Notamacropus eugenii: one gene and its partners. The protein of the gene in region 2 purifies or fractionates together with the protein of the main gene of each other region. This does not show direct contact. Links are inferred from orthologs where the notes say so. Each region holds a gene or a part of one and is shown on either strand. Other genes may lie near its edges. The genes, in order: RUVBL1, OTUD5, SERBP1 and ZGPAT.

Region 1 (7,169 bases), on a different chromosome or scaffold from region 2:
TGCCTCAGTGGCATGGTATGAAGATATAGATCACACAAAAAATGTTGAAAGCTCACAAATCAGAAGCCTAAGTCCCCAGGACAGCAGGTAGAAGTCCAGGTTAGACATGGTGTCCAGAACAAAGGATCATGGTATGAAAACAGCTGGAGAATATCAGCATGGGGGTCTGGGCAAAGCTAGAGTATCAATAGTCAAGTCCATGCTTATAGATAGTGAAATACTTTGTGATTCTTAGCATTCACCGTCCCCTTTTTTTTCACTTCACAAAGTTGAACCCAAAGGCCATTTTACATTTTTCCTTGTTTCCTGAGTGTCCTTGACTAAAAATTTCATCACCTGGTAGCTCTCCTTCTGGTGATGAGCCTCTCCATACTTAACCAGTGCAGTCCTGGGAAATCAAAAGCAGTCATAGATTTAGGACTGGAAGGGACTTAGAGGTCATCTAGTCCAATTGCCTTAGGTCACACAGCTAGTATTGATCAGAGGTGGAGACTGAAGCCTTGCCTTCCTGACTTGTCAGGGCTGCAATCTTCAAGACTTTACAATCTATGGGCAGAGCCTTCACGAACTCAGGGTCACTTCCATGTCAAAGAGTGATGGATCAAAAGACTTTTGAGTCTGAGTCTTATAAAAACAAATGGAATTTTAATGTTTGCTGTACCATCATTGCAAACTGAGCAGAGGGGCAGTTACTTCTGAATTTTTTTTTTAAACAGTGAAACATTAGCCTAGGGTCATCATGCTAAGAGAAGCAGGAAGTTAGGTTTGGGGGAGAAGGTCAAAAGGTGAAGGGCATTCATACACATTCCCTTATTCTAATAATATGTCACTTGACAACTGTAGACACCAGCAAGCACGTACAATTGAAATCTGAAGATGTATGTGAACCTGGGCAATGCCTTTCTATAGTAAACGTTTAGTCTAGGACAAACAACTGCCCATCCTCCAGCCCCCACCTCAGCTATCACATAATGTCAGCAGGGAGCAGGCTGAGAAGGGCAGAGGAAACCCTCAGAAATGAACTGATTAAGACTGAGGACTGAACTATTCAGAATGGCAGGGATTATTTTTCTGTTTATATCAGGACTGCCAAATATTGGATTACGCTCCTAGCATCTTCCTTTTGAAAAAGGAAAACAAAGACTCAAAGGCCCCTTCAGTTCAGTCTAGCAACAAGGTATGAGACCAACGTGAATTCTCAATGCTTTCTTAAATTAGCTTGTCTTGCCCCTAAAGCAAGGGTTCTTAACCTTGTTTGTGCCATGGGTCCCTTTGGCAGTCTGTTGAAACCTGGAGACTAATAATAATATTATAGCTAGCAAGTATATTGTGTTTTAAGGTTTGTAGAGCACTTTACATATATCACCTCATTTGAGAATTTTTTTGATGCATAAAATACATAGGATTACATAGGAAACAAATTATATTGAAAGATAATCATCAAAATATTTTTTACAAATAAAGTTCACAAACCTCAGTTTCAGAGCCCATGGCCTACAATTTTATCAAACCTCCCAAAAAGTTTAAAACCCAAGTGTAGGTATATTCACCCACAGGCTCATGTCTCAGGCAGACCCTCATTCATTAAGAGGTATCCCTGGAGGAGTTCCAGCCAGCATGATTGTTTGCTCAGCCCTTTTGGATTGGCAGACATGAGGTATACGTGGTCTCCAGTGTGGTGGTTGTTTTACTGCATACGATTAAAACTTCAGTCTGGAGGAAACAGAGAATCCAGAACACAGGGAGATGGATCAGGAGGAAGAGATGTGAATGACAGTGATGGTGTTTTGAAGGCCACAGTGTAATGGGAGCACACCTACTAATCGCTGGATGACAAGATGGACCTGAACAGGAAGCAGTGGGAAGGGGAGGGGAGGAGTATCCATCGCACCGTGAAACCTAAAAACTGTCATCATTGGGGTGCAGCAGCAAGAGTTTTACCCTAGGGTGCCAAAATTGAGAGTGCTAATGGTACTATTTCGGGGTTGCATCCTCCCCACCAGTGGCTACTCTTCAAGGGAGTTCCCCACCTTGGTGTCATCTCCTCAGTGATGGCAGCTGTCCTGGTACATGCTTGCCCCCATAATCCTGTCCCTTCCTCTCCTCCCAAGCAGTGATCAGCCTCTCTCCCACTTACAGGGAACATCCCCAGCTTTGCTTTCTGACTCTGGCTCCCTCTTTCCCCAGGAACAAAATTTCCTACTTAGTGCTCTTTCAGGAAGTATATGGATTGACAATTGCCACTGATACCCCTCCATTCGTCTGCTTGGGTAGTTCTAATTAGCTTGGGTAGCTATAATTAACTGTTTAAAGTAGAGATTCTGGGATAGAATTGATAGAACACTGGGCTTGGAGTCAGGAAGACTCATCTTTGTGAGTTCAAATCCAGCCTCAGACATTAGCTCTGGTGACCCTGGGCAAATCACTTAACCTTGTTTGCCTGCTTTTTCATTTGTCAAATCAACTGGAAAAGGAAATGGCAAGTCACTCTAGTTATCTTTGCCAAAAAACCCCAAACGGAGTCATAAAGAATAGGACGTGACTGAAAATGAACAACAAAATGGTACCTTAGAAACACAAAGACGCAATTGGGGGCAGCTAGTGGTCCTGTGTGGCTGAAAGGTCTAGTGGGTAGAACAGTAGTGTGAAATAAGCACAGAAAGGTAGATTGAGGCCAGATTGTCTGGGGCATGTGGAGGGCTCATGTGTAAAGTGAGCTGGGGAAGGAAATGGCAAACCACTCTGATATCTCTGCCAAGAAAACCCTAAATAGAGTCATGAAGAATCAGACACAACTGAACTCACAACACATACACTATATATTATATATACATACACATGTATACATATATATGTATATGCATGTAGACATACTTCTTTTGAGCCTAAAGAAAATCCTTCAGGTATTATTAGCCTTATTTTACAGAAACTGAGGGTCTATCAATCCATCAATCAACAAGTATTTACTATGTGCCAGACATTATGGAAAAACCCAAGGGCAGAAGGAGAGTAGAGGTGGGAAAATAAGTGTATTCTTATGAGTATGTAAGTTATGACTCAACAACAGTAATAATATATACACATATACACACGTATTACAAGGCCATTATGGGAGCGCACTAGGAGTCAGAGGATCAGAAGATGCTTTATGTAGAGGCTGCCACTTGAGTCAAGTCATGAAGGAAACCAGTCAGTAGCAGAGAAGAGGGAGGGCATTCCAGGCATGAGGCTGGGTTCCTCCTTTGTTTATGAAGAAGACCAAGCTGGCAGAGAAACTATGACGTGACTGGCACCTGACTTTGTTTTGAGTGAGGCAGGGCTGTGCAGGTCACCAGCCTGACTTCTCCTCCAGAGCCGTCTGGATCCAATGACCAGATAGTCATCAGGATGACTGGAGATGACCCAGGATGAGGCAGTTGGGGTTAAGGGACTTGCGCAGGGTCACACAGCTTTTAAGTGCCTGAAGCAGGACTCAGGGTAGCTCTTTCTGGCTCTGTGTCCGCCTCATCGAAGCCTAGGCTGTGCAGAAAAAACCAGAGAAAAGAGAAATATTCCGGGCCACGCCACGCAATGCCCCGGCTCGTCCCCGATGCTCAGCCAGAACGCTCCATTCAAGCCGGGGGTCTCTTTCTCTCCTTGTCTCCCTCCTGACCAAACCTGTCGCCGCCCTCCTCTCTGTACCCAGGCCACCCGATGCCCGCCTGCCCATTGGTTTGTAAAACCCCCAGCGGGTCCTGCTTGAGGCCAGCAGCGCCGCAGGCTCTGCGCACGGTCCCGCCTCGGCCATCTCCCGCCTCCAGGCCGGGAATGCTGGCCCCCTCCCCTTCGCCGCCAGGATGCCTTCCAAGCTCCCCGGAGCTGCGCCTGCTCCCCTTCCCACACTCCCCAGTATCGGTTCTCGGCGGCTAAAGCCCGAACGCACCTCTGTACGCACACAGAGCCAGGCTCTGGTCCACGTGCGGCCCAGAGGCCACACCCCCAGGCCGGGCTGCCGCCAGGAAGCGCACATTCCCGGCAGTCGCAGTGGGGGAAAGCTACCTTAGTAACACAGACGGAAGTGGATGGGCGGGCCCTCTTGGGCGCGGATGCCGGACGCGGACGCCGCCCAATGGGCAGCGGCGCCGCCGCCGGTGCGCCCAATGGGCGGCGGCGGGGGGCGGGCGCTGGCCGGACGCCCTGGTAACGGCCGCGTGGTAGCGGAGAGGGCCCGGGGCTCGGAGCTCGGCCGCCGCCGTCGCCGCTCGCCCGCCTCCCGGCCCGCTCCCCCGCAGCCGCCGCAGCCCCGCCGGCCCCGTCCTCAGCGGCAAGATGAAGATCGAGGAAGTGAAAAGCACCACGAAGACGCAGCGCATCGCCTCGCACAGCCACGTGAAGGGGCTGGGGCTGGACGAGAGCGGCCTGGCCAAGCAGGCGGCCTCGGGGCTGGTGGGGCAGGAGAACGCCCGCGAGGTAGGGGCCGCGCCGGGCGTCGGGCGTCGGGCCTGCGGGCGGGGCGCCGACGGGGAGAGGAGGCTGGAGAGGGCAGGGGGCAGCGGCACGGACGGCCTCACCCCCACCCGGGGGAGGATAGGCCGGGGCCGTTATTGGCCCCATTTTACAGCCGAGGAAACTGAGGCTGGCAGGGGTGAAGGGACTGGCGCGCCGTCGTCGGGCTGGCTAGTAAGCGTCTGAAGCAGGATGTGAACTTGGGCCTTTCAGGCTCGTGGTGTGCTCCACCAGCTGCCTGCAGGGCACGAACAGACCCGCCGAGGGATGACGACCAGCGCTAAGCTTTACCGAAGGCGAGCTCCCCGTGCCAGGCACCGTGCCACACACTTGGCAGTGGATTCGATCCCCCAGACCACCCTGAACTCGTGGTGTCGCCCTGAGTGCCGAATAGCGAGCACAGCTTAGATAGGCCAGCTAGGGTAGGGAGATGAATCGTAATTTTCACAAATAAATTGGTCTTTAAAAAGGTATTGTAGGCAAGGGGAACGCGAGCCTTTTCCAGATGAGAAAACTGAGCCCCCCAGAGAACTGGCCCAAAGCAGACCTGGACCTCAGGGTTCCTGCCTCCACTGCCTGCCCCACCCCTTACTACCCTCAGCTAAGGAAAGCGTGGATGGACCTCCAACAGAAGGTCCATGGATTTGGCAGCAGTTAACCAAACAGGCTGACTGCTAGAGGGTTCTCGGATATTCCATACATGGGCTGCTCCATCGAAGATAAAGCAGCCCCATGCCCTTGAGTACAGGGCTTCATTCATCCCTGTTGCCTCATCTTCAATGGGTGACCTCCCTTGAAGGAGTTCTCCAGCTGAATGAGATTGTAAAACCTGTGGGTTGAGACTAATGAATTTCTTGCCCTTGTGTCCAGTGCCTGTCATTGTATCTACCTTGGAGTAGGTGCTTTAATAAGTCGTGTTGAAAGGAGGAGGTATTACGTGGTTTCTAACCATGAAAACGCTGTAAACTGTTATTGTTTATCATACCCTGGGCTTCAGCCGAGCTGTGGTTTCATCCACATGGGACACTCCTTTCACGAGGTCGTATTCTGACTTCTCCATGCCTTAATGAGGAGACAGTCTCCTTGAGTTGTTGTACCCCATTTCCCTCCTACCCCCCAACCCATTTTATGACCTTGTTCCTTCTGGTAATGAGTCTTTCTGAACTTAGTCTGGACTTTGCAGTATAAACATTAGTCCTTCTGTCACTGGATGTGTTCTAGTAGCCCTTTGCTGCTTGGGTAGGACAGAGTATGGGTGCTGCTTTAGTCAAACAGAGACTTGTTAAAGACCAAGATGTCCCACGGCCTCCTGGGCCAGTTGTCCTGATCAGTATCTGGCTGCTGGGTCCAGATGGCTCTGGCCAAGTGAGGCTGGTGACTCTGCACAGCCCCTCCCTCACTGTAATCCAGTTCACTTGCATGTCATGGCGTATTCCCAATGTCATGGTCTTCTTTGAGAACAAAGGACACCCACACAGCAGCAGCAAGGACAGAGCAGTGAGGCATAGTGGGAGAAGGGCTAGATTTGGACTGGAGGACCATGCTGATTCCCACCTCAACCAGTAACTGCCTTTGTGACCCCATCAGCAAATCCCCTAACTTCTCTGGGCCCAACAGAAAGTGAGGTGATTCAGGGCATCCCTTCTTCAGGTTCATCTGCCTCTCAAGCTGATGATCCTGCGAGCTGTCAGGTCTTCAGGATCCCAGGATGGTCTTAGTGTCCCAGTGAGGAATGTCACATGAAGAGGACTTCAGAGCCATGTTATTTATTATAGTGAACATCGATTATTACCTTGTTGAAATTCAACCACTAGTTAAGATTGCTGCATGATAGATTGTCTGATAAAATTACTGTGTATCTCTTCTTCTTGAGCTACAACCGGAACTTCTTATGAAATGTTTGCATATTGATGTTATTATTTCTTTTCCTTTGGTGGTGTCTAGGCATGTGGTGTGATAGTGGAATTAATCAAAAGCAAGAAAATGGCTGGGAGAGCTGTTTTGTTGGCAGGACCTCCTGGAACTGGCAAGGTATCTTTTTTCTCATTTTTCTAATCTATCCAGAGAGTGGTCTCAATGTCTAAACCAAACTGAACTTATGTCTTAACTATGCTTTGTCTTCCCAGGTTGATTAGGTTTCTTTAAAAGGACCACTGTGAAGTCACATAGTTGGGTATCTTAACACTCAGACTCTCCTGGCATACTTCCAGGGAAGAGGGATTGAGGTCCTCGGAGGAGGTTCATTGTCTGAAACTTGTCTTCTATATCTTATTCCTTCTCCTTGCAGAAAAATACTTTTTGCTCTGTGGCTTCTGAGAACTTATTATTGCCCATTTGAAGGGTATGAGATTAATTCAGTGAGTACTGATTGAGAACTCTCTGCATGCTTGGCTCTGGGAGTGCCATGGGAATGAGCTTCGGTTGGTGACAGGGGCCGTCCCAGCAAGGACCTTCAAACCTGGGAAGAAGAGCGACACGCAAGAAAAGAGCAGTTTTTAAAATCACATAATTATTAACTTTACACGATTGGTCGTAATGTGGAATTGAGTTCAGAAGAGGGTGAGCTGGTTATGAGGGCTGGTTATGTCATCTGAAATCCTCTAAACATTAGACATTGCTTTTCACCAGACGTGGAGAACAGAGACTTTGGGTGCTCTGCGGTAACTGGGAATCCTGGCCCACTC
Region 2 (7,663 bases):
CTGTGGGTGCCTAACTGTTCCTCCACTGTGGTATCTTTGAGTCACATAGGAACTTAGGGGTAGACAACATGGCATCCACACCCCTTGTTATAATGAGTCTCAGAGACCAAAGGTCCTGCCTTTGGTACTTCCCACTCTGTAAAATGACTGCCTTGCACCTAGATATCACAAATGGCCTTTTCCACTCCAATCCCCACCTCGAGAGGGCACTGGGTCTCCCATCTCCATTCCACAGCCCCCCCTCCCCCCATCTGTTCCTGCACACATTCAGGTTTGGGATTAGGGCTGAAGGGAGCCCAAATCCAGCATTGGGTGTGTGCCCGCAGGTATGGGGACATGGTGCCCAGCACAATTGCGGGAAAAATCTTTGGCTCCATCTGCTCGCTCAGCGGGGTGCTGGTCATCGCCCTGCCGGTGCCTGTCATTGTCTCCAACTTCAGCCGAATCTACCATCAGAACCAGCGTGCCGACAAGCGCCGGGCACAGCAGAAGGTGCGGCTGGCAAGAATCCGGATGGCCAAGAGTGGGACCACGACAGCCTTCCTTCAGTACAAGCGCAGCAGGGGCCTGGAGGTGGGGTGCCGCCCTGGGCACAGGGCTCTGAAAGCTGGCCAGGGGAGGGGGCAAGGAATAGGGCTTTGCTGCTGAGGTGGCTCACCTGATGCTCTGCCTGTGCGCCCTAGGACCAAGATGGGGCCGAACAGCCAGCACTGAGCACACGAAGCCGCTCAGCTTTTGAACAGCAGCACCATCATCTTTTGCACTGTCTGGAGAAGACCACAGTGAGATCCTTCTCTCTCTGTCTCCCTGCTGACCCCTTCCCATTGCCCAAAAGCCATCTCTGGAATCCTGAGTCCTTTCTTTGTGCCCTGCTCAGGCTCTTGGCCTCCCTGTCTGTGCTCCCTCCTCCTTTGGGTCCTGCCTGCCATTGCTTGTTCCCCTAAGGCTCTAAATACCCCCTGATGCTAACTCTCCTCTCTCTCTCTCTCTCTCTCTCTCTCTCTCTCTCTCTCTCTCTCTCTCTCTCTCTCTCTACGTCTCTTCTCTCCCCCCAGTCACATGAGTTCACAGATGAGTCTACCTTCAGTGAAGCACTGGGAGTCATTTCCCTGGGTGGCCGCACCAGCCGCAGCACCTCTGTGTCTTCCCAGGCTGTCATGGGAACCAGCGCTCGGACTAGCAGTCTGATCTCTTCCTGCTGCCCCCGACGGACCAAGCAGCGCCGGGCCATTCGCTTGGCCAACTCCACTGCCTCTGTCAGCCGAGGCAGTATGCAGGAGCTGGACACTCTCGCTGGGCACCATAGCCCAGGACCCCAGAGGTAATGTGGCCTCCATTACTTGGGGCCAGGAAGCGAAGATTTGGGTAGGGGGCCCTAGGTGCCACAGGTGCAGATAAAGCTGAATGCAATCCCACTAAGATAAGATTTTAGAGGGCAGCGTGCAATGGCGCGCCCTTTCACAGCCCAGGGACTCAAGACATTTACCCTGGAAGGAATCTCAGTTATCATTCAGTCTCCCATTTTATGGATAAGGAAATTGAGGCTTATGGGTTAGACTGCCTCACCCAAGGTGGTGGATCTTGGATCCTACCCCAAGACCCTCTCTCCCTTTCTGCTTCCATCCACCAGCCGAGCCAGCCTCAATGCCAAGACTCATGACAGCCTGACTCTGAATTGTGACAGTCAGGACCTGGTGGCAGCCATCATCAGCATCCCCACCCCCCCAGCAAACACCCCAGATGAGAGCCAACCACATTCGCCTGCCAGTGACAGTGGGAAGGGGCCTGGAAGACCCTCTGGGGGCAGCAGCAGTAACAGGGGGGCTGTCCAAAACTCCAGCCTGGGCCCTTCTGATATTCCTCACAACACTGTCAAAATCTCCTCCCTGTGATTGAGGGGGCTTCACCCCTCCTTTGGGGCATTGGTTCCCCACCTTGGGTGTCTCCCTGTTTTGTTTTCAAAGCCATATTTGGATGGGGCAAAGTGTGAGGAAGATGAGGGGCACACTGGGGGGGGGGGCGGCATCTCAGCCCCTGTGATCTCCACTGCCCCTGAACAGGACAATCTTGTAGTGCAATGGAGTATGTATGTGTGTGTGTGGGGGGGGGAGGAATGGAGAACCAAAGCTCCGCTCGTGTCCCCTCTTCTCTGTTCTCTAGAGACATGGACATCAGTAGCTGGGAAGCCAGAGGGTGAGTCCTATTCTTGGGACCTGTCACAGACCAGGAAAGGAACCTGGTTGTCAGGGTGGATTCAGGTCTTGGCCTATATGTTCTCCATCCTTTGTCTCTGGGATCTTTCACCTGCTGAAATGGTGGCAGGTGGACCCAGGTATCTTGGGAGGGGCAAGTGTGCTTGCTTAGCACATCTGGAGGATATCACCATGTAGGCTAGCAGAGGCTGACTGAGAGATGTGGTCTCTGTCTCCTGCCCCTCCTCCTCAGCTGTCTCCTCAGAGCTTCACCCTGGGCAATGTTACCAGACTGCTGTGTCCTTGGTGAATGTCCAGAGAGATTTCCCTTCTCCATCTGGAGGACAGGTGACTGAGTGGGACAGTGAGGGGGAGTCTCCCCCTACCTCCTCATCTCATCCTCAGTATGGAGAGAAGAGCAGAAAGGCACCTGCAGGGGCTCAGCTCCCAAACATCTGACCTTCTGGTGACCCCCCCAATGACATAGGAAGCAATAGCTCTCAGCCTAGCTGTTTGATGCCCTTGAGATCCAGCTGAATTCTTGTGAGATAACTAAGGGCAGCAGGCCAGGAGGAGGAGGTGCTTTAGGGTCTCTCCTCAGTAGCTGCAGAGCTCTTAGAGCCTGCCTCAGTTTCCCTTCTAGATCCCCTCCATCAGCTGGGCTTCTCTGCCTGCCTACCTGCTTGCCTCTCTCCTGGCACGTCTCAGGTTTTCCCACCTGCCCCATGCTTGAAGCCAGTGCCCTACTGGATGCAGTTTAAACCAATAAAAACCCACACAACAAACCAAAGGAGACCTTGGCCCACAAGTGGGGGATGGGGGGGTGGGGGTTGGAGCAATACGGGGTGCTGAACTGGAGGTGACATCAGAAAGGACTTGAGTTGGGTTCCACCAACCACCTTCTTTCCCAATCTGGGTCTCAACTTGGTTATCTGGGAGATGGGTCTGATCTCTGCTTCCCCTGCCATTCCAGCGTGGGCTACCTAGCCTGCCCCAGGGGATGGTGGGAAAGCACGAACCGAAATGTCCTTGCTGATCCACCCAGAGAGAGGTCTGGGAGGCGGAGCCAACTGTAGAAAGTTCGGCGAGGAAATGAGGGTGGTTTTGTGAACCCCCAGAGGTGCCTGAGCTTTTCAAGGGGGACGCGGAGGGAAGTTCTGGCCACCAAAGCAAAGTCAAGGCTGACTGGCACCCAAGATGGGGTAGGCGCCCAGTCCGACCTGAAGGGAGCGGGTATTAACATCATGGTGGCCGAGGCAGCATTTCGGGTGGGGAGGGGATATGGACCAAGAGAAAAGCCCGCAGTCCCCGGAGTGCGAGGTGGGGCGGGGGTGAGGACGGGCCAGGTCGCAGGACAGAGACCTCGGCTACCAGTAGGCGGCAGCATGGACCGCGGAATGCCAAAGATGGCTGTGCGCGCATGGGATGGAGGAAGGGGAACGGGCGGAGGCGGGGCGAGTTTCTCGTTTGACTGACAGCCAAGGTTGAGCAATGAGAGGGTTAGGAGAGCCGAATGCCCCGGCCCGCGCGTCTCGGCGGGGGAGATTGGCGGGGAGGGGGGAAAGGGGAGGAGGGCTGGGGTGATTGACAGGAGGGGAAGGGCGGCGGCATGGGGCGGAAGTGACGGCGCGGGGGCTCGTAGGAGACGCGCTGTGGCAAGTCGCCAAACGAGGAGGAGCAGGCGCCCGTGGAGCGATTGCTCTTTCCTCCCACTGCGCCTTCTCTCAGGCCCTCGGCCGGGGAAGTCGCAAAGGCCTTCGTGCCCTCCGCCGCTCTCCGAGACGGGAACACGAGGTCCGGACTTAGCTCACCCCTCCGGGTACACTGCCCGCCATCCTCGACGGGGGCGGGGCAGAGTGGAAAGGGAGGGGGCCAGGCTCTCCTCCGCGGTCAAGTGCGTCTGCGCGCCCCGCGGGGGCTGGCCCGCCGCGTCGGGGTGTTTGTTTTTGTCAGTCACCTGGTGGAGCGGGGCGGGGCCTGCAGCCCCGGGAGTCGGGAGTGAGAGGAAGAGGAAAAGCCAGCGGCGGTTGCGGGGCTCGCGCCCCGCCCCCCTCCTTAGCCTCTTGTGCCGACCAGTCGGTCCCCGACTCGCGCGCTCAGCTCGCGGCACGCAGCGGACAGGGCCTTACCCTTGCCAGGGTTCGCTCCCCGGGTAGCCCCCTCCCCTTGGGCTCGCCTCGCCTCGCCTCTGCCCCCTCCCCATCCGGGGCCTGCGCCGGGCCCCGCCCCTCCTCATCCGGGTCCTAGGGCCCTCGCTCCGCCCCTTCTCCCTTCAGTTTCCCGGGGTCCGCCGGCTCTTTTCCGGCCTCCGCTCGCCTGGCCTTGCCCTTCCTTTCCTTTCCTTCCCTTCCGTGCCCTGCCTTTCCCGCCGCCGCCTCCAGTTCCTTCCGCTCCCGGCCCAGGCAGCGGCGGCCAGGAAGAGGAGGGGGCCCGTTCGCCGCTACAGCTCCGCGGGGCCCGTCGGCTCCCCAGCCCCCGGCCCCCGGCCCGGCCTGGCTCCGGCCCGGCCCCGGCGGCCCTGAGGGGGCGTCGGAGCCGGAGCCGCTGAGCCGCAAGCTCCGGCCCAGGCCGAGCGTGCGCCCGCCGGCGCCATGACCATCCTCCCCAAGAAGAAGCCGCCGCCGCCGCCCGGGCCGCCGCCCGCCGGCTCGGACGCCGACTCCGGCCCGGACGGCGAGCCTGGCGGCGGGCCCGGCGGCCCGGGCGGCGGTGGACCCGGCGGCCCGGGCGGTGGCGAGGGCGTTCCGGGCGCCGGGCCGTCTTCGGGCGGCCGCTCGCGTGCCTCGCCGCCGCCGCTGGCGCGATGGGCCTCGGGCGCGGGCTCCGCGGCTTCCCGGCCGCAGGCCTCGCCGCCGCCCCCGGGCCCCGGGGGGCCGGCCTCAGCCGGGGCCGCCGACGCTCTCGGCCTGGGGCTGGGCCTGGGCGCCGTGGGCGGCCCCGGCGGCGGCCCCGGCGGCGGCTGCTGCTCGGGCCCGGGCCACAGCAAGAGGCGGCGGCAGCAGGCAGGCCCCTGCGGCAACCCCGGCGGGCCTCCGGGCGGTGGCGTCGGCGGCGTGGGCTCGGGCGCGGGGGGCAGCCCCGAGCGGGACGAAGGCGGCGCGGGCTACAACAGCGAGGACGAGTACGACACGGCGGCGGCCCGGGTGGAGGCTATGGACCCGGCCACGGTGGAGCAGGTATGGCCCGGGGAGGGGCCCCCGCGTCTTCGATCGTTTGCCCGGCCCTCTCCTCTTTGTTCGATCCGGTGGGGAGTTTATGAGGCCCAAGCGCCCCCCCCCCCGCCCCCCCCCACCGTCTCGGTCCTGCTTCCGGGTCTTGGCTCGCTCCATCTTTTCTTCTCGGGCCACCTCTGCTCCCTTCTTACGCCATGCCTGCCCCCCCCCCCCCACCTCGGGCCTTTTCGGATTCCTTGTTACTTCCCTGCGCTCCCCTTTCCCCCCGCTTTTCGAATTTTACCCTTTCTTTCCTAGGCCCCAGCCCTCTGATTTTTAATCCCTTACCCCCCCATTCTAGAGTCTCCTGGCTTTTCTGATTCCGTCCTTGCCCCCCTGCTCTTATTCATTCTTGGTTCCCCCCCCAGCTTTTTTCACCCTTTGCCCTATCCTGCCCTCACCCCATTTTCTTGATCCCCAGCCCCCCGTTGCTGCTTTTCTTGCCTCTTTCCTTTGCCCCCCCCTTGATTTTCTTACTCCTTGGGGCATGCCCCCCAATCCCTGGAGACCCCCCTGCTTTTATTCTATTTCTGATCCCCCCACCCTCGCTTTTCTTACCCCATCTTTCCTTCTCGTTCCCCCATGGAGCCCTGTTTCTGCTTTCTTTTGTAATTTTTCTCCCCAAAAGTGCTCCTCTTTTCTTCCTCTTTCTCCAGGACCTTTTCCTGCCTACCTACCTTCCCCTATTCCTTCCTGGTTCCCCTTCTCTTCCCATGATTCTTCAGGCCAAGCAGGGAAAGGGGAGAATGGTGGCTGGAGGCTACTGGGTCTCTGTAGTCCTTCTGGACCTCAGCGATGGGCATAGGTGCTGTCCTGTATCTTCTCCACTATTTTGGAGGCTCCTGAGGACAGGACTGGCTGGCAGAACTCTGTTCTTCCATTTCCAGTGCACTCCTTGTCTGAGAGATGAGGATGAAGCAGATGTCAGGGTGACCTGGCTCCGAGTCCTGTTAGTGCCTCTGTGGCCTTGCCCAGCTCTTTAAAGTCTCCAGAATTCTTAGCTAGTACTCCTGGAGAAACCTTCCATAGTCCGGGAGCTGCTTTGAGTCTCTCCTGCCAAGAACCCAGACTTAAGGAAGCCTGACTCCCATGCATATGGATGGCCAGGCCTTCAGGTGAACATTTGCATGCTGGAGAAGGCCATGGGGGGCCCCAAGGACCTGCTGACCAGCAAGTTGGGGCAACCCTAAAATGCGCACCTTCAGCACAGCTGGCCAAGATATCTTGGGAGAGAGCTGGTGCATCTCCTTTCTGTTGGGGGACTGAGAAGGGGGAGGGGGGGACTAAGGTGTTTAAGAAGAGAGAGGCTCCACTGGGAGTGCCCTGAGGCCCAGGATTTCTACTTGTCAGCTGAATTTGAGGAAACTTTTCTTTCCTGAGCTACTTCTTTGGGGGAACGGAGGAGTTGGGGCCCCCTTTTAGTTGTAACTGGTCCAGTGCACAGAGCACAAGACCCAAAAAACTAGAATCCAGCATCAGATGATTCAGGCAAGACTTCTTTTGTGCTGGACTTGTGTCCGTCTCAGTTTCTCTGTAAAATGGGGATGATAATAATATCTACCTCCTAGAATGATTCTGAAGATCCTCTGGTCTCCAGAGCGCTTGGTACTTAGTAGGTGCTTTGTAACTGCTTGCTCCTTCCCTGTGGGGGCTTTTGTCCTGGGTCAGGACTGGGCCCAAGTTTGCTGCCTGGCCTTTGGGTGTGGGGTGGCAGAGGGGTACAAGGATGTAAGAAGAAAGGCAGGAGAGGAGCTCCAGGGACTAAGAGGAACCATTTGCCTTGTTGGAGAAGCACCCCTCCCCAACTTGGATTCTCTGTTCCATTCTCCCTCCCTGAGCAAGTTCTGGTCACCTAGCAAGGACTGCTTCCGGCCTCCCGAGTGGGCTTCTCACCTTCACTGCCTGCAAGGCCACTGTGGGCAAAGGAAAGGGGGGGGGGGGGCAAGTACCCTGAAGCTAACTGCTCTTGGTGCCCTTCGCCCACGTCCAGGCCTGGCCCAGAGCCCAACCAACGACTTCTGGGGACACTGGACTTTTTTTTTTCTTGTGCCAGATACCAGGTGTCAGCAGGGTGTAGGGGGAGGGCGATGCTTCACACCGGCCAGTGTACATGTCTGTGCCCCCTACCCTCTCACTTCACCAAAAGTACCCCCACGGGGGAAAGAAGTTGGCTTGCCCACTTGGACTGCTGTGCCCAGGGCCTACATGGCTCTCCTCTTTGCTAAGCAGCAATGCAGGGCCAAGACACTTGTCTGTGGC
Region 3 (8,073 bases), on a different chromosome or scaffold from region 2:
CTCAAAGCCAATCAAGGTTTTATATTGGGTCCTGGAGGCAATGGGGGCCACTGAAGTTTATCATTCACTCTCTTTTCCTCCAAGACATTCTGTGTGCTTTTCTGCCAGATTTATTTCTTTCCTTACCTGTGGATCTGGCCATCTGCCTCCTCTGGGCCAAAATTATTTTGGGCTCCCTACTGCCAACAGAGCAGAGTTCAGACGCCTTTCTTTAGCATCAATCAATCAACAAGCATTCATTAGACTCCTACTGGCAAACTAGGCTTCCCTGGGCATCTGAGGACAACAATGAAATTACCTCTACTCAAGAGGTGCTTTTTTTCCTAATGGAGGAGACAAATAAATATGTAATAAAAATACACAACAAACACAGAGCCTTCCACTACACAGTGTGAGTCACCTTTGCCCCCCATTAACTCTAGTTAAATTGTCCATTTTCTGGGTCTTGACATAAGCCTTGTTCCTTTCCAAGTCTGGGCCTTTTCTCAGCTTGTCCTCTGTGCCTGGCATGGCCTCCCTTGACTTTGCCAGTCTTACCTCCTCCAGGAAGACTGCTCCTCTCGGTCAATAAGGGACTTCACCGGATCTGAAAAGCAGTGTAGCCTCCAATTCCAGTAGACCCTGGTTCAAGTCGACCCTCTGACTGGCACTAGCTGGGTGCTTGATCAAAGTGAATAAAGTACTGGACTTGGATCCAGATGATGAGTGCTCCGATTCTGCCTCACACACTTCCTAGCTCTGGGACAGTGGGGTTAATTACAACTTCTAGAGTTAGTAGGGGTTCATGTGAACATGAAATGAGATAACAAGGATGTTTGCTATCACTATGATCTCATTAGTAGACAGAGCTTCTGCCTAGGAAAATCTCAGGTCTGGTTTTTACAGCAGTTCAGTAGCATACTTGATTATTAGGCAGAGACTTGATCTTTTCTAAAGTTGGAAGGGTCTCCCCTGGCACTGTTGGTGTTTAAGAGACATTTGTTGACACCCCCCCCCCCCCCACTAGTAGACTGTAAATGTCCTGAGGATGGGCATTTGTTTTTCTCTTGTCTGTGCCACCTACCCCCTTTTCTCCACACCTGGTGTGCTTTTTGGAGTGGATAGATTCTAGGTTTTGGGAATGAGTGTGGAAATTCCCAGAGCCTTTTCCTGTGAGTTGTTTCCAGGATGGGAAAGTACCCCCCATCTGTGTCTCTTTTCCGTTGGTGTAGGATCTAGAGGAGCAGAGATGATTGGATGGGAGAAAAGAGAAGAGGGCAGATTGGCAGTCATTTGGGGGACAGTTGGAGGCAGGGGGCTGGATCGTTGTTGATTTTGTAGTCTGAGAGTTGCCTGGCCTCTCTTACTTTGTGAAAGCTCTGTGCTAAGCCCTGAGGATGGGCATCTTAGCCGAGTCAGCTCCTGTTCTCCAGGACCTTACAATGTAATGCGGAAAGAGCACACAGAAAAGCTAGATGACAAGGACAAGGGAGCTGGGGACAAGCCTGAAATGGCTATACAGAACACCCTATGTTCTACACAAAGATCCTGTGTATACATACAGCTGTATATATTTGCATAGTCTTCCTTATTAAACTAGAATGTGAGTTCCTGGAGGGCAGGCAACGAGGTTTTCCCTTTTTCTTGGTATCCTCCAGACTTAACTTTGCAAGTTTTTAATAAATGCTTGTGAACTGACTGGCTAAGACAAAATAACAGAAACACTGGTCGGTTAGCCAAGGAGGAGCGTTCTCTGGGAGAACTCGGATTGCTCTCCTGGCCTGTGGTGATACTTGGATCTCATGGAAGCTAGAAAATGACAAGGCTAGGGTAATGCCTTGTCTCTACAGCAGGAGAGTGAATGAATGAATGAGTGAGTGAGTGAGTGAATGAGTGAGTGAGTGAGTGAAGGAGTGAAGGAATGAGTGAGTGAGTGAATGAGTGAGTGAATGAATGAGTGAGTGAGTGAAGGAGTGAATGAATGAGTGAATGAGTGAGTGAAGGAGTGAATGAGTGCATGAAGGAGTGAATGAGTGAGTGAGTGAAGGAATGAGTGAGTGAGTGAATGAGTGGAGTGAGTGAAGGAGTGAATGAGTGAGTGAAGGAGTGAGTGAAGGAGTGAAGGAGTGAAGGAGTGAGTGAAGGAGTGAATGAGTGAGTGAATGAATGAGTGAAGGAGTGAATGAATGAGTGAAGGAGTGAATGAATGAGTGAAGGAGTGAGTGAAGGAGTGAATGAGTGAATGAATGAGTGAGTGAATGAGTGGAGTGAGTGAAGGAGTGAATGAGTGAGTGAAGGAGTGAGTGAAGGAGTGAAGGAGTGAGTGAAGGAGTGAATGAGTGAGTGAATGAATGAGTGAAGGAGTGAATGAATGAGTGAATGAGTGAGTGAATGAATGAGTGAGTGAATGAATGAGTGAAGGAGTGAAGGAGTGAATGAGTGAATGAATGAGTGAGTGAATGAGTGGAGTGAGTGAAGGAGTGAATGAGTGAAGGAGTGAGTGAAGGAGTGAATGAGTGAGTGAATGAATGAGTGAAGGAGTGAGTGAAGGAGTGAGTGAATGAATGAGTGAATGAATGAATGAGTGAAGGAGTGAGTGAAGGAGTGAGTGAAGGAATGAGTGAGTGAATGAGTGAGTGAATGAGTGAGTGAATGAATGAGTCAAGAAGTGAGTGAGTGAAGGAGTGAATGAGTGAAGGAGTGAATGAGTGAGTGAAGGAGTGAGTGAAGGAGTGAATGAGTGAGTGAATGAATGAATGAGTGAAGGAGTGAGTGAAGGAGTGAGTGAAGGAGTGAGTGAATGAATGAGTGAATGAATGAATGAGTGAAGGAGTGAGTGAAGGAGTGAGTGAAGGAATGAGTGAGTGAATGAGTGAGTGAATGAGTGAGTGAATGAATGAGTCAAGAAGTGAGTGAGTGAAGGAGTGAATGAGTGAAGGAGTGAATGAGTGAGTGAAGGAGTGAGTGAAGGAGTGAATGAGTGAGTGAATGAATGAATGAGTGAAGGAGTGAGTGAAGGAGTGAGTGAGTGAATGAGTGAAGGAGTGAGTGAAGGAGTGAGTGAAGGAATGAGTGAGTGAATGAGTGAGTGAATGAGTGAGTGAATGAATGAGTCAAGAAGTGAGTGAGTGAAGGAGTGAGTGAGTGAAGGAGTGAATGAGTGAGTGAATGAATGAGTGAAGGAGTGAATGAATGAGTGAAGGAGTGAATGAATGAGTGAATGAGTGAGTGAATGAATGAGTGAGTGAATGAGTGAGTGAGTGAATGAATGAGTGAAGGAGTGAAGGAGTGAATGAGTGAATGAATGAGTGAGTGAATGAGTGGAGTGAGTGAAGGAGTGAATGAGTGAAGGAGTGAGTGAAGGAGTGAATGAGTGAGTGAATGAATGAGTGAAGGAGTGAGTGAATGAATGAGTGAAGGAGTGAGTGAATGAATGAATGAGTGAAGGAGTGAGTGAAGGAGTGAGTGAGTGAATGAGTGAAGGAGTGAGTGAAGGAGTGAGTGAAGGAATGAGTGAGTGAATGAGTGAGTGAATGAATGAGTCAAGAAGTGAGTGAAGGAGTGAATGAGTGAGTGAATGAATGAGTGAAGGAGTGAGTGAGTGAAGGAGTGAGTGAAGGAGTGAGTGAAGGAGTGAATGAGTGAGTGAATGAATGAGTGAAGGAGTGAGTGAAGGAGTGAGTGAATGAATGAGTGAGTGAGTGAAGGAGTGAATGAGTGAGTGAATGAATGAGTGAAGGAGTGAGTGAGTGAAGGAGTGAATGAGTGAAGGAGTGAGTGAAGGAGTGAGTGAAGGAGTGAGCGAAGGAGTGAGCGAATGAATGAGTGAAGGAGTGAATGAATGAATGAGTGAAGGAGTGAGTGAATGAATGAATGAGTGAAGGAGTGAGTGAAGGAGTGAGTGAGTGAATGAGTGAAGGAGTGAGTGAAGGAGTGAGTGAAGGAATGAGTGAGTGAATGAGTGAGTGAATGAATGAGTCAAGAAGTGAGTGAGTGAAGGAGTGAATGAGTGAGTGAATGAATGAGTGAAGGAGTGAGTGAGTGAAGGAGTGAGTGAAGGAGTGAGTGAAGGAGTGAATGAGTGAGTGAATGAATGAGTGAAGGAGTGAGTGAAGGAGTGAGTGAATGAATGAGTGAGTGAGTGAAGGAGTGAATGAGTGAGTGAATGAATGAGTGAAGGAGTGAGTGAAGGAGTGAGTGAATGAATGAGTGAGTGAGTGAAGGAGTGAATGAGTGAGTGAATGAATGAGTGAAGGAGTGAGTGAGTGAAGGAGTGAGTGAAGGAGTGAGTGAAGGAGTGAGCGAAGACAGGCCCCCCCAGAAGGGTCACGGCTGCCCCTGGCCCAGCCCTTCGCCCCAAGGCGGACCCTAGGGGCTCTCCAGCCGCCGCGGCACCCCCCCCCCTTAGCAGACCCCGACGCTTGGGGCGCACACAGGGGGAGCTTGGAGGAGTTGGGGGCGTGGCAGGCGCCCCTCCCCAGGCCCCCTGTAGGCGGGGACGCTCCGGGGGGCGTCTTGGGGGCTGGGGGGCGGACCCAGCCCGGCAGGGGGGCAGGAGGAGCCTGGCCGTGGCGGTCACAGCGGGGAGGGGGGGGGGGGCACCCCCGGCGGGGCTGGCGGGGGGCCCGGCCGGCTGAAGCCCCCCGAGGGCAGGCCGCTCTCCGCCTTCTCGGCATGCAGGGGCGGCTAATAAATGCACACCGCCTCCTGCCCACCGCGGGACGCTCGGAAAACCGGCGCTGCCTCGCGCGGCCTCAGTCTCCCGGCCTGGAGAAGAGGAGTAGGAGTGGGCGGGCCCCACGCCGGAGGGAGTGACCTTGACCGTGCTCGCCACGTGCGGCCGTCCTCGCCCGCCAGGGGGGCGGGGGCGCGGGGCCGGAGGCGGCAGGTGCTCGGGCTCGGGTCTCCTCCCCCGCCTCCCCGCCGCGCTCCGCCCTCCCCGCGCCGCTTCGCGCCCGCCGGCGCGCGCCGCCCCCTGGGAGTTGTAGTCCGTGCTGGCGCAAGCTCGGGCGGAGCGGCGCCGGCCGCCTGCCCTTCCCGGCGTGCCCCGCGGCGCCGGCGGCTCCCGGATGTGTGCGCGGCGCCGGAAGAGAAGGCGGTCCCTCTCTCGGCCCGGCCATCTTGTGGGGACGAGCTGAAGCAGGCGCCGTCGGCTCGGCGCGGCCCGCTGCAATCCGTGGAGGAACGCGCCGCCGGGGCCCCATCATGCCCGGCCACCTGCAGGAAGGCTTCGGCTGCGTCGTCACCAACCGGTTCGACCAGCTATTTGACGACGAATCGGACCCCTTCGAGGTGCTGAAGGCGGCCGAGAACAAGAAGAAGGAAGGCGGCGGCGGCGGGGGCGGCGGCGGGCCCGGGCCCAAGAGCGCGGCGCAGGCCGCGGCCCAGGCCGGCGCGGGCGGCGGGGGCGCGCCCGGGAAGCCGCTGCGCAAGGAGTCGCAGAAGGACCGCAAGAACCCGCTGCCGCCGCCCGCGCCGCCCAGCGCCGCCGCCTCCGGCCCGGCCGCCGCCACCGCGGCCGACAAGAAGGACGAGGCCCCGCCGCCGCCCGCCGCGCTCAAGAAAGAAGGTGCGGGCCGGGGAACCGCGGGGGGGAGGGGGGGCCCACGTGCGGCCCGGGAGGGGGAGGGAGCAGGGAGCCACGTGCGGCCCAGCCGGGAAACTGAGGCCGCGGCACGTGGCGAGCGGGGCGGGGGGCCGGGCCGGGCCCAGCGCGCCGGGGAGAGCGGAACCGAACCGGCCTCCGGGCCTTGCCGGGGGTAGCTGTGGGCATTTATCCGGGGTCGGTTCGGAACCGGCCCCTTGGGGACGGAGGGGGTGCGCCTTCGGGGGGCTTGCGGGGTTCGTGTCGGGGGCGGGAGCCTTTGTTCGTTCGGGGGTTTGGCCCCGGGCGCCCTCGTGCCCACCCTTCCTGCAGCTCCGCCCGGGCCCCCCTACTCCCAGAACGGGGGGCGCGTGCGGGCCACCCCCGAATCCCGGAGTGAAAGCCTTGGCGCTCCCGTCAGGGAGGCTCGGTGTCCGCGATGTGCCGGGCGCTCCTGGCCCGCGGGCATCGTGAATCCACAGGTCCCGTGTGCTTGTGGGGCGTCCTGCTGTGTAGACGGCGCCCGGGTCCTGTGTAGACGGCAGGGGGCGGGTCCCTGGGCCTCGCCGGACGTTTGTAGCTTGTTAGAGCGCGGCTCTGGGGGTGGCTTTCCGGGGGCTGCTGTTGGGGTCCGGCGCTGGCATGGGCGCGTTAGCCGGGCCTAAGCCGGGCCGGTCCGTCCGTGTGCGGGGCCGGCCGCTCTGCCCGCCTGGGCCGTCCCCGTCAGGAACCCCCGGCCGGGCTTCCCTACCGCCGCCCACCTCCGCGCTCTGCCCCGCAGGGATCCGGCGCGTCGGCCGCAGGCCGGACCAGCAGCTGCCGGGCGAGGGCAAGCCGATGGAGCGGAGGCTGGAGCGGCGGCCGCCCCGCGAGCGGCGCTTCGAGAAGGCGGCGGAGGACAAGGGCGAGGGCGCCGAGTTCTCGGTGGACAAGTGAGTGCGCGGGGCCTGCCGGGGTGGGGTGGGTGGGGGGCGGCCGGCCCCTGGGGGGCGCGGCTGGGAGCGGGGCAGACCCCGCGGGCCGACCCCAAGCTGCCGCTCTCGCCCCCCAGGCCCGTGCTGGAGCGGCCCGTGCGGGGGCGCGGCGGCCCCGGGGGCAGAGGCCGGGGAGGCCGGGGCCGCGGCCTGGGCAGAGGGGACGGCTTCGACGCCCGCGGGAAGAGAGAGTTCGACCGGCACAGCGGGAGCGACAGATCGTAAGTGGGGCCGCTGTGGGTGCGGGGGCTGCGGGGGGCTGCGGGAGCCCTGGGCTGCGCTGCGGCCGCGGCCCGCCACTGCCGTGTTAACTCAGGCGGGCAGTTCTTTCTCCCATTCGCATTTCAGCGGGCTGAAGCACGAGGACAAGCGCGGCGGCGGCGGCTCGCACAACTGGGGCACGGTCAAGGACGAGCTGACGTGAGTGTCCCCTCGGGGCCCCCCTCCCCTCGGGGCCCCCCTCCGCGCGGCCGCTCTGGGGGGGGGGCCTCGGGAAACCCTGGGGGGTCGTTGGGCGCTGGAGGAAACTGAGGCAGGCGCAGGGGAAGCCGGGTGCATGGGGCAGGATTTGAACTCGCACCTTTGCGGTGTCGGTCCTGTCCTTAGTAAGGTACGGTTTATCCGGAATTGGGATGTCGTGGAATGCTCGATGATCCGAGCTTTCCTTCCTTTCCTGGTATTTACGAACACGCGGACGGTTCTGGTCCCGTAGCAGCTGAGCTGGAGTATCTGAGTCTTGTTCGCTGCCGAGGATGAATGCTTTGATGCTCTTGCTGGAAGCTCGGGAATGTTTTGGGGTGGGGGGAGATAGTTGATGTTTTTATTTGGGGAGAGGGGCCGCACAACTGGGGAACGGATAAAGAACCAGGCGCCTTTCTTGTCTCTCTTTCTCTCCTTAGAGGGGGCCCCCAATACATTCAGAAACCAATGTCTTATAATTGCAGTGACTTGGAGCAAACCACTGTGACCGAGGAGACACCTGAGGGAGAAGAGCATCCAGTGGCTGACACAGAAAATAAGTGAGTTATCCTCTTATTCTCCCCCATCCCAAGCCACGGCCTCTCCCGAGCACAGGGACTCTGAATGGAGGTGGTGTTGGGTCTGATCAGAGAAGGCATTTTGATTGAAAGTGGAATAGTGATCATGAGGAAGAGAAGAGGAAAAGTTGACCAATTAATTGGAGATCTGGTGAGTCTCCTAGGTGACATTTTCTGATGGATGTGTCGGGGTAGAATTGGGGGAAGTTGTGGTAGCGCGTGGCACCTGTTTAGTCTTTTAATGCAGCCCCCACGAGGGACGAAGGGTCCGCTATATTTCCCTTTGACACTGAAATGGGTTTCACCCCATTTATGTGTTCAGTAAATCCCTGGATTCTTGTGTCTGAATGATACAGATTTCCTTTTAGATCAGGAACATAATTCTGAGAGGCCAGGTAGCTAGCTAGTGTTTCGTAACAGTTCTTCTTCTCCAGCCCGCAAGCCCTGAAAGTACATGAGCATGCACAGTCATTTTTTCCTGTCTAGTTTTAAGACAGAA
Region 4 (7,478 bases), on a different chromosome or scaffold from region 2:
GAGAGAAGGAGAGAGGTGGCAAACTGCCGGCACAGGGCCCGATATAAACAGGATTTTCTAAATTACTGTGATTGTCAGTTTCGCTTATCTCAAGTGGAGATAATTCATGATATAAGAGAGTGGACAATGGGCAAAACTCCACGTTGGAAATGCTTTTCCTAGCTTAAAAGAAAATAATTCAAAAGGGCTTCTCATATATTGTTTTATTCTACTCCCTATGTGCCAACTGGTAGAAGTGTTGGGACACAGAAGTCCAAGATGCTCAATGCTTTGAAATGGGCCAAATACCCTAGTCTTGGCTAACAAAATAATGAGAAATCTTAATTGAATCTTTCCTTTGCAATCCAGTGTTGGTTGAAGCTGCCAAAAAAATGGTCTTTTTATCAGCCCAGGCAAAAGCTTCTCTTTTAGGGGAATAACCATTATTCTAAGTAGAACAGATTTTTTTTTTTTTTGCAGGACACTGATGTGCAGAAAACAGCTATTACTAAGTGTAGATTGGAAACTGGCATCTGGAAACTCCAGCTTCTAACTGCATGAACAAAAAAAAAATAGTATGTTTGAGCAGATAGATTTCTAGGAGTTATTTGTAAAGCTGCTTCCTATAAGAAGTCAAAATATTCATACTGTGAGGTTTTGAACAGTAAAATTACCAAAGAGCTATCTTTACCTAGCTCAGTATCTGGTTTGTGATGGGACTATCCTCAGGACCATAGAGTTTCTAAAAATTTTATGGAACTTAAGCATAAGGACAGGCCTGGAAAAAAAGAAAGTTCCTTTCTTACCTTATCCCAGAGAGACTGCAATTCCTCTTGTCCTCCTAAATCCCAGAACATAAGGCGAGCTTTGCCCACATCAATAGTACCAACTTCAAGGAAAGAAGAAGGAAGAAAAGAGAAATTAAAGGTAAAATACAAGATCCCAGTCACACAAACTTCATTTTCCCCAATCTCTCATCTGAAAGTAAAACAAAATAACTCCCCACTACTCCACAGAGTAGCAATCACTGAGATAAGGAAGGTATTCAGCTCTCAGAAATTCAGTTTCTTTCCTTTACCACATAAGAAGATCAATGAATAATCTGTTATTCCCTGGCTATCTCACCTAGGTCATCATGAGATATTGTCACACTATATCTATTTGCTTTCCTGATTCTGTAACCCCAAAAGATCCACTTACTATTCAGGCCCACTGTAGTGGTGATTTTGGATAAACTCATCCCTTTGTAGTTTCTGTTAAATCGGGTTTTCGTTTGCTCCAGGAAAGTCTAGGTAGATGGAAAAACAAACAAGAAGGTAAGTTTAAAATTGTCCAAAATGGAATGGGCTGCCTCAAGGGATAAGAGTTCTCTGTCACTGGAAATCTTCAAGTGGAGGTGAAATGATGCTTATTAGGGATTCTGTTGATGGGATTCATGATTTCAGAAAGGGCTAGATTAGAACAGCTGAGCTCATTTTTAGCTCCAAAAATCTGTTAGTTTCTACAATCCAGGAATATGCCATAGCTAGCTCCTACCAACTCTTGAAAAATGACATTTAAATTTTCAGTGTATTTACACCTCAGAAATGCTATAATAAAAGTGTGATTTATTGTCTTACTGATTGCCTGGGCTTAAGAAAATGATAAAGGAAATGTTAAGAATGCAGATTAAATATAAAATTGTGTTGTATGAACTTTTTTCACTTGAGACCCAGCTATTAAACACTTAACCAGTACACTCCAATTATCATAACTGTCTCAGAAAAACAGATCCAAAGATCACTCCTTCCCCTTTCTAAAATGCTCCTTTCTTACAATCACTTACAATAACCTTTTCTCAGACTTACAGCTGAGCTATCACATAATCAGTTGAAATTTTACTGAATGAAAAAAAAAAGTAGCAAAATAGATTTTACAAAAAGGAACTGAGGTAACCAGAAAAGAAACTACCTACCGTCTTTCCCGCATTGTCCAGCCCCAAGATTAGGATACAGTATTCATCTCTCCGGAACATGTACTTATAAAGCCCTGATAAGAGTGTATACATCCTGCTCCTGTAAAGTACAAGAAACCAGGAATTACTGGGGAATACTGCTGGGGAACTCTGTTCCTTACAGCATCTTCCTTGCTTCCTTCAATATAACAACAGTAATGATCGTAACAACAACAGATAAAACAATTGAGCCAGAAGGTCCAGGATCCTATTCTAGGCTCCTTTTGCTGTGTAATCTTGAGAAAAATCAACCTGTTTCCTCATTGGCAAAATGAGTATTATACCACAGACTTCTCATTTATTCCCTAGAAATTTTGTAAAGATTAGGTTCTGACTGAAAAACTTTAAGCTTTTGGGAAGATCAGTGATAACAATGTCATAATACTACTAGGCTTATCCCACTGCTCTTTCCATGTGACTGGAAAAGTTTCCCCAAAGACACTGGCATGTAACAGGGTGAGTTTCTGCTTTCTCTTTATACAGTGAGCTAGACTGAGTGCTTCTCAGCAGGCTAAATGGGCCTTTTAACTTCTCTCAACATAAGGGCCTACAGCTGAAAATATCCAAGGACCAAAGTGGCATAGCACAGCAACTCTTTTATGGGGGCCACTATCATTCACCTAGACAGAAACTTGTCCCTTTCTCTCTTGAGAAACACTATAACCCAGAGATTCTGGGCTTTTAAGGGTTATTTTAAAGGTTATGGGGAAAAAATTAGGGGCCTCATAAATTCCCATAACTTGTGCTCCATGGGTCAAACCAACACCTCCACCACAGCCAACAAAAACAAGACTAATCTTTCACTGAGGGAACCATCTCCTTTACTACTGACTTGAACTAACTAACAGATAAGGAGAAGAGTATTAGTTTTCAAATAATGGTTTGGAACACTAGGATAGGACAGACCTACTGGCTCAGCAGTAAGACAAGAGGGGTTCTATCAGTAGGCAGACCAACTGATCTGGACACCCACACAGGGACTCACTAGTTCTGATGTTAGCTCATAAACGAAAGTGGGGTGGGAGATAAGAATAGGACTTTATGGCTCAGAAAAAGGTCTTGGAATGGCTGAATAAGCTGTGGTAGGATTGTGATGGAATGGAGGGGGATGACTTCAGAAAAACGTGGGAAGACTTATATGAAGTGATGCAAAGTGAACAGAACCAGGAGAACAATGTACACAGTAACACAATATTGAGGCAGTTACTAGGCAGTGGATAGAAGGCTGGGCCTGGAGTCAGGAAGATCAGAGTTCAAATCCAGCCCTAGACATTTACTAGCTCTGCAACCCTAGACATGTCAACCTGACCCTGTTCTCCTCAGTTTCTTTATCTGTAAAATGAGGTGGAGAAGGAAATGGCAAACCACTTCGGTATCTTTAACAAGAACCTCAAATGAGGACAAGAAGGGCCAGACACAGCTGAAAAGTCTGAACAACAAATATAAACAGTAGCTCTACAGTAATAATGATCAACTGTGAAAGACTCAGCTACTCTGATCAATACAATGAATCAAGACATTTTCAAAGGATTTGTGATGAAAAATGCCATCCCTCTCCAGAAAGAGAGAACTAAGGAACTGAGTGAACATTAGAAACATACTTTTTTTCACTTTCTTTATTTTTCTTTCCTTTTTTTCTTGGGTAGGGGTGGGGGTTTGGGCAAGGAAAAGAAAGAGTGGCTGAGAGCGATGTATTCCTATTAGCTCAGATGGAGCAAGGCTCTCGAAAGCAGGGGCACGTAACGCCACGGTCTCCAAAATGGGGAGCGAGAGGGCAGTGCAGGAACACAGGTTCAGAAGGGGAGTGGGAGGGCAAGATGAACCCACGACTCGGAAGTGGGAGGAGGGGGCGGTGTAGTCTAGTAGTGGAAGGGGGCCCGGAGCGTCACCTAGGAAACTGGGTCCTGTGGCCCAGACGCGGCCTGGGCCAGGAGGGAGGGGACGTGCCTGAGTTTCAGAGCGACCCATGCGCTTCCTCTTCGCCTCCAGGGAGAGGCCGGCTCCGGCCAAAGGGCCCTCCCCACAGAGGGAACTCTCTGGTCCGGCCTCAAACTCCTAAGTCAGCGGCTCGGGAACTTCCACAACGAACGTGGAGCCCGTGAGGAAGCAACAGGGAACGGGCTGCGGGGCTCCTACCTGCGGCCTAGCGCCTCAGAGACGGAGCCGGAACGACGGCTACTACAGCCACTAGGGCCGAACGAGACCCTCTCGGGCCACTACCTCTACCGCCAGCAAGAGTCGACCTCTCTCGCTGACCCTGGCGCTATGACTTCTGGGACATAGAGTCCACACCGAACTCTTGGAGAAAGGAGAGGCCTTTTGGAAACTACGAATCCCAGCAGACACCGGAAGTCCGCGGGCGGTAGGGTCGTCAGCTCCAATGACGCTTGCACTTCCGGTGGACGGCAGAAGCTGGGGAGGGAGTTCCGGTGGGTTCGTGGCGACCCAGTGAGGGAATCGAGGAGCTGTTGTGGGCCTCTCTAGCCAGAACAAGTACGGCATCTATGGTTGTCTTGCCCGAGCGGCGGTTTCATGGCGGCCGTGGAGGTGGCGGCGGCGGCTGCTTCCCAGGCCTGAGGGGTGAGAGGCTGAAGAGACACTGAGCTTACTGAGGGAATAGGGCCCGAAAAAACCTGGGCAGGGAGGACGGGGCTCGGGAGCAGGACTAGAGATGAAGAAACGATTCCTCCACCGAGGGTCTGTGGGCGAGGTCTCTGCGGAGGACGCCCAAGGGCTAGGCCTCATCTCCCCTCCCCCACCACCCTGCTCCCACCGCCGCCCCTTCCTCCTCCCCCTTCCCGTCTTCTTCGTTATAGTCTTCCCCTCTCCTCCACCTTGTTCTCTTCTCTGCCCTTAGGAGCTTACGTTGTACTGGTGGGAAATAAGATCTAGGCAGCTAAGTCAGTACACAATTTGTACAAGGTAAATAATTTCTCCGCCCCCCACCGGCTCTCCTCTCCTCCCTTCCCTCTTCCACCCTCCCCACGGCCTCATCCAGTCCCTCTTCCTTCTTCCCCATGGCCTTTGTCTCTTCCTCCTCCCACTAACTTTGACATCCCATCTTCCCTTCAGACCTGTCCGACTACATGACAGCTTTAAGTTTAGGAACCTTAATTTTAAAGGACTGCATGGTTCCTGCCCTCGCGAGTGGCCTTGCTCTGGCGTAGCTGTCCTTTGACAGGAGTGATGATGCCTCCCCTAGCCTGAGGGGGGATGGGGCCCAAACGCCAGGACTTCTGTTGTGATTAAGCATCTGTTTGAAATGGCCTTATTCCTCATCTCTGCAGATCGTGATTCCTAAAGGTGCTTGTGGAACAGCTGCCTCCTAGCCAGCGTTTTGTAGGATGTAGGGATACTCAAGTAGATCATCAGAAGAGCTACAGACTGCCTCTGCAGGATGGATGAAAATAGTGTGGAAGCTTCCATCCAGACCTACCATGTCCAACTGCAGCAAGTGGAGCTGGCCCTGGGGACCGGCTTGGACCCTACTGAAAAAGCTGACTTGCTTCAGCTGCAGGCTGACTTAAAGCAGCTCATCGAGCTAACTGAGTCCAGTCTTGTGTCCATCAAGAAGAGTAAGCTCCTGGCCACACTGGACCCAAGCCTTGGCCTAATTGAGAGCGCAGTAAGGGATGAAGCTGAGTATTTGGCTTTCCAGAATGCCATTCGTGAAGTAACAGATTCTGAGACTCAAGGTGCTGAAACTACAACCTCTCCTGAAAGAGGAGAAACGGAGCCTGACAGATCTGGGCATGAAGAGGAGGAAGAGGGAGAGTTGAGTGGGATGAAGGTGAATGCTCCCTACTACAGTTCCTGGGGCACTCTGGAATACCATAATGCCATGATTGTGGGGACAGAGCAGTCAGAGGATGGCACAGCAGGGGTTCGTGTGCTCTATCTCTACCCGACTCATAAGTCCCTAAAGCCCTGTCCCTTCTTCCTGGAGGGAAAATGCCGATTCAAAGAGAACTGCAGGTAATTCTCTCATGCCATTCTGTCTTTACAGGTACCAGAAGACACTCAGTCAACTGAGGACAACAGCCTCAGCTTGAAATGGTTGGGAGTGATTGGTTTAGTTTTTAGTCATTTCTCATGCTGCCAAGAGGTGCATGAGGCATTCTCAGTATTGTTTTCTTGCCCTCATTAGTACAATATAGGGCATGACAGTGTTTAGAAATTAGGGTTTGGAGTTTTTTTGGTGGAGGGGGTGCATTTTGGGAGGCGGGTTCTTGGACCATAGTTTGATCCTAGGCACATCTCCCCTTCTCCACTCCTTGGTTTACTCCTCTGTTAAATAGGACTATACTTCTTTGAGTGCTTTGAGTTCTCCTGTATCGCACATGTGTGAAGCAACCTTGCAAAATGCTGTAGCTACTCACCCACAGTGAGTACCCTATGTGTCCAGTGAGATGCAGTGGTGGGCTTTACTCCCATGTGTCTTGGGGAGGGACAGGGACTGGGTGGAATAGGGAAAGCTGAAGGGTATTATTTGGTTTTGGTTTTGTTCTTGTTTGCAAGGTTTATGGAGAGGCATATTTCTATGTTGGCCTTAAGCTGACTGGTGGGACTCTTCTTCCTTGATTTTACATATCCTTTTTTGTTGAAAAAGAATTCAGCCCAACTAAATGAGCAGTGGTGTGAAAAATATGATAAAAATATATAATCAGAGACTTGCACGCTTGATTTTGTGTGGAATAACCTGAGCGAGCTCTTACTTTAACTGTACATTAGGAACGTGGGACCTAACTGGTTATCATAAAGGAAGTGTGGAGAAACCACTGAGCTAGTAATCCACTCCCAGAGAGTTGAGAGTTTACTGCAAAAACCTATCCCACCAAAAATAGTAAAAATAAAACAGCTCTCAAACTCTCCATTATTTTTGAATGGGTTACCTCTTTTTTGGCATCTATCTGATTCTCTGCATTTGAGTACAAGTTCTGACAGGTACTGGATTTGCTTCTTCTTGGTACCTGATGTTAGTGCCATTTATGGGTGGGAATATTTGATGTGCTTAACCTAATCTCTGCAGGTTCTCCCATGGGCAAGTAGTTGCTGTGGATGAGCTTCGTCCCTTTCAGGAGCCAGACCTGAGTGCCCTGCACACAGGCTCAGCCTGTCTAGCTAAGTACGATGATGGAATTTGGTATCCAGCGAGGATCACAGGTAAGCTATTAAGACAGGGAAGACTGAGGGTTTCCTTAATCAGTGTCTTGAAATGATTGCCTCATGCCAGTGATTTTGAAAGCTAGATCTGATATCAGATTTTTTTTTGAGATTCAGATAAAATCAGTTAGTTGTTAAAATTTGATGTCTTATTTTCATCATATATCAGGTACTGAAATGGAATGGTCTTTGTTTCCTTTCTTCCTCTATTCATTTCACTGTACTTCTTCTGTGACAATATTCATGGAAACAGTTATTGAAAAGGTCTTTGAATGTAGCAGTAAAACAAGTCAAAGATTGTGGCTCGGTCCTCAGTGCCGTCAGGTAGGACACCTGGGAGAAG

What was found.
Region 1: the proteins of OTUD5 (region 2) and RUVBL1 purify together in Homo sapiens (affinity purification with mass spectrometry, with the first as the bait; 3 studies listed by BioGRID). This does not show direct contact. The link is inferred for Notamacropus eugenii from reciprocal best matches to the Homo sapiens genes OTUD5 and RUVBL1.
Region 3: the proteins of OTUD5 (region 2) and SERBP1 purify together in Homo sapiens (affinity purification with mass spectrometry, with the first as the bait; 3 studies listed by BioGRID). This does not show direct contact. The link is inferred for Notamacropus eugenii from reciprocal best matches to the Homo sapiens genes OTUD5 and SERBP1.
Region 4: the proteins of OTUD5 (region 2) and ZGPAT purify together in Homo sapiens (affinity purification with mass spectrometry; 3 studies listed by BioGRID, with this or other methods). This does not show direct contact. The link is inferred for Notamacropus eugenii from reciprocal best matches to the Homo sapiens genes OTUD5 and ZGPAT.

The regions. Positions count from the first base shown.
Region 1 is NC_092874.1:426,434,320-426,441,488, forward strand, and holds the start of RUVBL1 (ruvB-like 1), read left to right. Parts: upstream 1-4,158; 5' UTR 4,159-4,308; coding exon 4,309-4,449; intron 4,450-6,429; coding exon 6,430-6,516; intron 6,517-7,169. UniProt on the Homo sapiens protein: Possesses single-stranded DNA-stimulated ATPase and ATP-dependent DNA helicase (3' to 5') activity; hexamerization is thought to be critical for ATP hydrolysis and adjacent subunits in the ring-like structure contribute to the ATPase activity.
Region 2 is NC_092879.1:102,138,471-102,146,133, reverse strand, and holds the start of OTUD5 (OTU domain-containing protein 5), read left to right. Parts: upstream 1-4,651; 5' UTR 4,652-4,783; coding exon 4,784-5,368; intron 5,369-7,663. Other genes in the region: A-type voltage-gated potassium channel KCND1, read left to right, coding at 327-573, 684-782, 1,056-1,321, 1,631-1,892. UniProt on the Homo sapiens protein: Deubiquitinating enzyme that functions as a negative regulator of the innate immune system. Has peptidase activity towards 'Lys-48'- and 'Lys-63'-linked polyubiquitin chains. Can also cleave 'Lys-11'-linked ubiquitin chains (in vitro).
Region 3 is NC_092873.1:527,951,555-527,959,627, reverse strand, and holds the start of SERBP1 (SERPINE1 mRNA-binding protein 1), read left to right. Parts: upstream 1-5,014; 5' UTR 5,015-5,184; coding exon 5,185-5,548; intron 5,549-6,344; coding exon 6,345-6,495; intron 6,496-6,614; coding exon 6,615-6,758; intron 6,759-6,861; coding exon 6,862-6,957; intron 6,958-7,436; coding exon 7,437-7,556; intron 7,557-8,073. UniProt on the Homo sapiens protein: Ribosome-binding protein that promotes ribosome hibernation, a process during which ribosomes are stabilized in an inactive state and preserved from proteasomal degradation.
Region 4 is NC_092872.1:496,789,193-496,796,670, reverse strand, and holds the start of ZGPAT (zinc finger CCCH-type with G patch domain-containing protein), read left to right. Parts: upstream 1-4,552; intron 4,553-4,829; 5' UTR 4,830-4,894; intron 4,895-5,259; 5' UTR 5,260-5,369; coding exon 5,370-5,947; intron 5,948-7,001; coding exon 7,002-7,135; intron 7,136-7,478. Other genes in the region: ARFRP1 (ADP-ribosylation factor-related protein 1), read right to left, coding at 786-868, 1,180-1,267, 1,934-2,027, 4,263-4,474. UniProt on the Homo sapiens protein: Transcription repressor that specifically binds the 5'-GGAG[GA]A[GA]A-3' consensus sequence. Represses transcription by recruiting the chromatin multiprotein complex NuRD to target promoters.